Tribolium castaneum: one gene and its partner. The protein of the gene in region 2 purifies or fractionates together with the protein of the main gene of each other region. This does not show direct contact. Links are inferred from orthologs where the notes say so. Each region holds a gene or a part of one and is shown on either strand. Other genes may lie near its edges.

Region 1 (4,266 bases), on a different chromosome or scaffold from region 2:
GCATTTGGCAGAAAGTTGCATATTTTCTTTAATTTTGGCGATTTTCTGTTACTTATTGCAGTTGCATATTTTCTTTAATTTTGGCGATTTTCTGTTACTTATTGCAGAAAATATATTTGGGTTTTTCGTAAAAATCAAGCCGCAAGCCTCTTTGTGAAAAAAAACAACAGAATTTTGTTAATTTTTTATTAACATAAAAAATACAATCACATTTAGATCTTTAATTTCTGTCTTTTAATCAGCACCGGTGACCATCATGTGGACATTTCTCTCCGACTGTAACATTTTTGTGGCCCTTTCTGTCCCAACAATTGCCGCTAACCGGTGAACATCATATTTCGAATAAATTACATTTACCGTCATATTTGATAAACTTCCGATTTTTTTATTCATGTTGGCTTCCTAAAACAAAATAATCAAACCCCTCTTAAAATTAAACCATCAATAATTACCTGCATTAGATTACACATTTCATAATAAAAATGCGGAAAAGTTGGCGGTTGATAAAAAACTAAATGGCGTATACCTTTAACTCTGACGCGATTAAAAAAATGAAATCGCTCAGTATACAATAAAAAATGAGTGTCTCCGTGATAAAACATGTCTCGGGCTCGTGCTACTTTACCGTCCTAAAACAATATGAAAAGACAGTAGCAGACGACAGTCATTTAAGCAAGAGTTTGATTTTTTTTGCTGTCTTAAAGACGAAAAATTACCTTGGAATATTCGCAAATTTGCCCAAAACTGAGCTCCTCCTTCTTAAAATAATTCCTCAAACGCACAAAATCGAAATAACTCGGCACATAAATCATCGTCTGTTTCATCAAACTGTCCCTCTGCAGAGGTAAGAGTTTATTGATAAAAAACTCAAACCGGGCCTCAATTGCGGCCTGTGCATTCGGGGCCTCAAATTTATGAAATACGTGCGGTATCTGAACAACGACTTGTCCAATCGACCCCAACTCGACTGGATTCGAGATTTTGACTTTCCCAGCGAAATTGTTACATTTCTTATTAAAAATTGAGTTAATCTCGGGCAAAACAATCGACGAAAATATCAAAGTCTGTCGGTAATATTGCGCCCATCCGTTCAAACTCCAGGTCCGAACTCGCGAAAAATCAGTCCCATGTGAGTCTTTCGGCTGCAAGTGGAGATGATTTATAACGTGAATAAAGTGGTCCCAGTTTTGCATCGAAAATAATTCGGTTTGGTCCAGAATTAGAAGTTCTATGGAGGCGAGAAAATCGTAGTCACGTTGGGGTTCGCCTTCAGCGCCGATTATTGTCCGGAGCCCCAAAGGCGAAGCTATGATAATATCGGAGGAGTAAAAGTCAGCGAACAGCTAAAATGATTTGTGTGTTAAGTGATTCCCCTAAAATGCGGTGCCAACCTTCAGGCTCTTTTTTGTAACAGTAATGCCAATCTTAAAATCGTCGCTTGTGTTTCCGGTGAAAGTCAGTTCGTAGTCTTCGGGTTTGGGGTTCTTTTTGGGCATCGGAATTTCATTGCCTGTGTACTCCTCCAGAAATCTTTTTTTGTTCATTACGTGACCTTTATCTTCAGGCAGGAGTATGTTTATTATCATTTGGATGATTTTAAAAGCCGAGTCTTTGAAGGGAACAACCATAAGAATCTATATATTTTTTTGAGTAAAGAATAAAACATAAAAAAATAAGACTTACCTTGGGCCTAACTAATCCCTGGTCTCTAAAATCCTCAGGAACGTCGTCCTTTTTTGATAAACGTACATTGTGGTGAACAACTTTTAACCGTGTTTTTAAAATGTGATTTACGGCATGAAGGCAATAAACAAATCTGATTTCCTCAGCATTATTAAAGTTTCTTTGGGTAAAATACAAATCTTGATAATTGTTAATTATCGAAAACAATTCAGACTGAAAATCAGTAAATACTGTATCATCCTCTTTTAGTGAATCATTGGCCTTAGATAAATTATCTATAATTTGTGATTTAATGAACAAATTATCCGGTTTTTTGAGGTCTGAGGTGTTCATTTTTTTAGGTACTGAACCCGGTGGTGCAAATTTTTTCTTTTCTTCTATTGTAAACGAATTTTTCTCTTCCTTTAATTCTTCAAATTGTGGTATTTGAACTAACAGGCGCCCTAAACTTGGCCAGTTTAAAACAGAATCGTTGACCAATACTGGAGAGGATTGTAATGACTTTAAAACACTTTCATGCAGTTCATAACAAACATGTTTTACAAAGGGATCATTCAAGTTATCACTATCCTCATTTTGCGCGCTATCAACTGCCACCTCATCCTCATCTTCTTCCGAATCTGGGGTGTCTTCATTTTTTGTTAATGTTTCCTCGTCCGTGTCTTCATTTTCCTCAAGAATGTCCTCAGGAGAGTTTTCATCTTCTTCGTCTGAACTTTCGTCGCTACTTGATATCGCAAGTGATTGTTTATGTTGCAGTTTTGAACCAAAAGTAGACATTAACTCCTTCATCGGATCAATTTCCTCCTCACTTTCTGAAGACTCTTGCTCGGGCTGAGCTTCTTTTTCAACTTTTTGCCGTTTCTCGTAATTTTCTTCACTAGCCTCAAACTTACGCTTCTTAGTGGGCTTTTTAGTGTCTTGACGATACAAGCTGTAAGTCTTTCTCGGTTTGGTTTTCTTTTTATCAAACTTTTTCGATTTTTTTGACCGGCCTCCAACCACGTCTCGGTACTTTACCTTACCTCTGGCCATACCGTTTTTGTGAAAAAATAACGCAATACACTAGTCTTCTATAAAAAATTGTAGATAGGCCTCTTTTAACGTTTTTTATTTTTGAGAAAGGTTATAATAAAAGTGAGGTTAATACGTCAACGTGAAACTTGACAACCAATGTCGCCAATGTAAGAAATGATCAATATATGATTTTTGCAATAACAATAATTAGCACGTGAAGTAGTAAATGATCAATGTGTTTTTGTACTTGTAATGTTTATTTGAAAAGTTTTGAAAGCATTTATTTGTCTACTTATTGGGGAAAAACAGAAATAAAGATTTCCCCAAGTGTTTGCCGCTCCCCAACATAGATGTCACTGGATGTATAATTTTTGCATTTATTCAAATCAGAAAAATGTCGAAGTAGAAGATGCTCGAAAATGCAAATTCTTGTCCCGGATTTCCCCGAATAAGTTGAGAGAATGATAATTTTTCTTTCTTGTAGTGAAATAACTTCAATTATTGGTAAATAGTCAATAATTAAAGACTTGTGGCTTTAGTCGTTTATATTAAAACATAAAAATATAAAACAAGAAATGAGGTAATATGTATATATACCGATTTATTTTTTAACACTAACATATTACATGATATCACATGTTACTTGCACACAATCAAGTGTTGTACGTAATTATTATTGACGTCACGTCGATGTGGGACGAAGTACAAGTACTTTTACTTAAACCTAAAGGCCTAAATTTCCAGGAGAATTGCGCAGAATTAATAAATACAATTTGTCGTTGTCTTAATAATAAATAAAAATTTGGTATTAAATAAGGCACAATTTGTCCAGAAAATTCAGGCGTCGAAACAACATGTTTCAAAAAATCTTTTATTGCAATCTTATCAAAATATTTAAATTTCTGTGCACATATAATTTCTTTTAGAATAAAAAACACAGCTATTTTTCATAAAACTGTATAATATTGATTGCCTCACGGTTCAATTTTACTATTTTACAGAGGTGGAATAAAATTGCAATTTCAACAACTTAAGTTATCGTACCACAACAATTTCTTATTTCAATACTTTAAATATTTAACGATATTTAATTGTGCCCTTGTATTGTTATTTGTTACAAACTAATTTTCTCATTTAATTCACTGATGTTAATACAACACCTTTTAAATAAATAAATATCACCACAAAATTTGTACCATTCACCACTGTGCTCCATTAAATTATCGGTCGTCTTACTGTTTTATGTAATCTCATTTTTATAGTCGAGCGTTTTTATTGAAAGAAAAATATATTACTCTATGGTCGTAAGGAACAGGATTTAAAAGAGCACAGCGTGAATGCGGAGTAAAAAAATACAAAAATTGAAAATGAAGTGTCATGGCAAGAAACTGAAAAGCGTCTTTTTCACCAATTGATATTGGTGGAAAAGAGGCCAAGAAGAGAATTAACTAGCTATTAAATAACATGGTGTACACCTACAAACATCTCATTGTAGCCATCATCAAAGAAGTTTTGGGACGGTTTGAACAAGTATTTTAAGTTATCAACTTTATTCTTAAGCTTTTT
Region 2 (3,069 bases):
GATTTTCAAATCCACTGATAGTCTTAAAAAAAATATAATGAGATCCGTAAGATGAAGAATAATGATCAGATTATTAACAGTAATAGTAATTTTTTTATGTATCTTCGTTCTCAAAATTTATTAATGTTAAAATAACAACTGGGTAAATTTTAGTGAAAAAAATGCACGTCTATGTATTTCATTATCTTAACCAAGTGAGTGCAAGAGACTTTTATGTCACTGACAGTTCGCCACCAGATTTGGAACCACCTCTATACAAGGACTTGGTGTGTATACTATGGAGTGTTGACAAATCATTTAGTAAAATTACCGTTGGAGACGCCACTCAGCTAGGTCAAAAAAGTAACCATAAATGGCGGAAAAAGCGCTTATTTGGATATTTTGTGTGTTGTACAAATTTTGAGGCTTCACAAGTATTGCATAGCGTATGCGGAATAACTAGTGTTATCTTTGGTGCAGGAAACGAATGTTGACAAATTAGAGATGACGAGAAAAACACGAATAACGAATGTTTGTTTCACTTTCTTTGTTGAATTATTATTAGAAAGACATTGAAAAGTCTACCTTTTGGAACAACTTCTGCTTAAATGTATCAACAGTTGGTAATCATCTTAATTGTAGTTTTCAAGATTTAGAATTGGGTTTTGTTTATTTTTGATACACTCATGTATGGCATAATGATTTACAATTCCTGTATGTTTTGGAAAAACAATAAAAATTTATAAGGACTTGGTGTTTCGTTTTACCAAACCAACTGAGTAACCAAATTTAAATTTAGTTGACAGTGTTGCCACCTACACTTAAAATTAATAAGGAAAATGTTATCACAACACGAAATCATCTCTCTGGAAAAAAAATGGTAAAAACCACGTTCTACATTATTTAAAAAATTTACCATTCCGTTATATTCAAGCACATGTTGTTTAATCTTGGAATTATCGACCCACGTTACAAAATCTTCCAAAGTCCTAGTTACAAGTAATGCTGGGTCTTTGACCAACTCGGGCCCAACCCTGACATGCCCCTGTTCAATTAATTTAGTAGCCCCCTTAATATTTTCAGCCATTTTATCTAGAAATTAATTTGGGGCAAAATTCTAACAATAACAACGACTTACTTCTAACCATTACAACGGCCAGTCGCCGCCGACAAAAGCACGAAGCTGTCACTTTCTCGGCCAGACTTAAGTCCCACCTTGTCGGTATTAACCCCATTAAATACCTAAAAATAAAAAACATAACCTCACTTTTGACAACGTTCCAACTTACAGTTTTTCCAACAATTGGGCACTTTTCTCAGTCCGGAAGGGGTCCTTAGCGTCCACTTCTTTAATTTTGCGGGCCAGTTCTCTAATATTACGGGCCAATTTGTTGTAACTACAAAATAAAATAAAACAAATGTCAAAACCGACCTAACCTCACTTTGTATAATCCTCGCGTTTCTGAATGTGGTACTTTTTGAGCACTCGCACTTCGTGCAAATTATTGTCGACTTCCCACGATATGAAGTCAACTTTTTTCAGGAGTTTTTGTTCGTGAAATTTTAATTTCCGGACCATTTTTGAAAATTGTGATCAGTCAAGGTGACACTCATGTGTGCCAACTCCGCCGGCCAAAATATTTAATTTGTTGATTAATTGTTGACTCACGCGGGCTATTTTTAATCAGTTTGTTAAACAATCTGTGATTGTGGCCGTGTCCAACGTGTGATAAGGTCCGGTTTGTGAAATTACGTTTCGTTTAATTTAGCTGTGATTTTCGTGGGGTTGGCTGCCATGCGTAACAAGCATCCCTCCCACTTGCCGAAAAGAGGTTATTACCTTTTTAACCGTAAAAACAGTTAGTTTAGCACAAAATCTAATTTTTTCATAATGAGATTATAGTTTGATTGTGTTGTGTGTGAAGTGTACCTTGAAAATCGCTAAAGAGTGGTTTGGGGATCTGTGGAGTTGATGTTTGGTGTAGTTTCGGTGACAGCTGGCAAATAGGCGGTACCAGTTTGTAGTTTTGGTTAAAAACAGCCCCATTGATTAAACACCAACGATGTTACGATGATTTCACGCCCCTTGTGACGATCCCACTTGGCAAAATGTCGAAGAACAACATCAGCGGCTCCCGAAGCGTCTCCTCGACCAGTTGTAACAGCATACAGTCCGACTTTGAAATCATCGATAACGGCATTGAAGAGCTAAATTTGAGTAAAAGCAGGCCCTCGTCGACGTCGCGGACGCAGAAAGCGAAAAGAATCCGATTTTACCATAACGGGAATAAGTTTTTTAACGGAGTTGTCATACCAGTGGCCCCCGAACGGTACAGGTCTTTTGACAGTCTGACGACCGAACTGACGAACATTCTGACTAAGAATGTTACTCTCCCCAGCGGTGTGCGCAACATCTACTCAATGGAAGGCAAAAAAGTATTAACCGATCAGATATCAAGACACCATAAATAATTTTTTCGCCCAGGTTTGTAGTTTGGACGATTTAGAGGACGGTAAGGAGTACGTCTGTAGTGGGAAAGGCGAGATGTTCAAACGAATCGAATACACGAAAACCGACACTTTGCGATCAAAAAAACTGTCCAATACGAAATTTAATAACTCACTTACACACACTCCAAGAATTATACCTCCAGATTGTGTTCGGCCTCGTATAGTCACCATTATTAGAAACGGGATTAAGCCCCGAAAGGTACGAAAATCAAGCTCGGAAAAGACAGCAAGTAACTGTATAAAATTACTAGTTCAATAACCAGTTCATTCGTTATATAATTAAAATAATAAAGGACACAAACGCTAAACGAACTCAAAATGTTAAAAAAATACAAGCTTTTTTGCATTTACTACAATTAATGCTGCGAAAAATTAACTAAAAAAATTAGAGAAAAACATCAAACTCTCGAGAAAGAGCACCATAGTTGGGCATAATCAGATTACAATGTAATTACGTTGTATTTTGATTACTTTTTTATTCAAATACAATGTAATTATTTTCTTATTAGCTGTAATCATTTACCTATTAATTCAATTTAAAGTAATCGATTACTTTGTAATTACGTACAACAATAACTA

What was found.
Region 1: the proteins of U3 small nucleolar ribonucleoprotein protein IMP3 (region 2) and U3 small nucleolar RNA-associated protein 25 homolog purify together in Homo sapiens (affinity purification with mass spectrometry; 3 studies listed by BioGRID and IntAct, with this or other methods). This does not show direct contact. The link is inferred for Tribolium castaneum from reciprocal best matches to the Homo sapiens genes IMP3 and UTP25.

Annotation. Positions count from the first base shown.
Region 1 is NC_087396.1:10,586,551-10,590,816, forward strand, and holds U3 small nucleolar RNA-associated protein 25 homolog, read right to left. Parts: upstream 2,863-4,266; 5' UTR 2,719-2,862; coding exon 1,684-2,718; intron 1,635-1,683; coding exon 1,392-1,634; intron 1,344-1,391; coding exon 717-1,343; intron 630-716; coding exon 453-629; intron 403-452; coding exon 235-402; 3' UTR 173-234; downstream 1-172. UniProt on the Homo sapiens protein: Component of the ribosomal small subunit processome for the biogenesis of ribosomes, functions in pre-ribosomal RNA (pre-rRNA) processing. Essential for embryonic development in part through the regulation of p53 pathway.
Region 2 is NC_087400.1:10,480,664-10,483,732, reverse strand, and holds U3 small nucleolar ribonucleoprotein protein IMP3, read right to left. Parts: upstream 1,627-3,069; 5' UTR 1,559-1,626; coding exon 1,422-1,558; intron 1,377-1,421; coding exon 1,269-1,376; intron 1,222-1,268; coding exon 1,118-1,221; intron 1,072-1,117; coding exon 896-1,071; intron 846-895; coding exon 825-845; 3' UTR 512-824; downstream 1-511. Other genes in the region: serine/threonine-protein kinase GL21140, read left to right, coding at 2,089-2,415, 2,465-2,689. UniProt on the Homo sapiens protein: Component of the 60-80S U3 small nucleolar ribonucleoprotein (U3 snoRNP). Required for the early cleavages during pre-18S ribosomal RNA processing. Part of the small subunit (SSU) processome, first precursor of the small eukaryotic ribosomal subunit.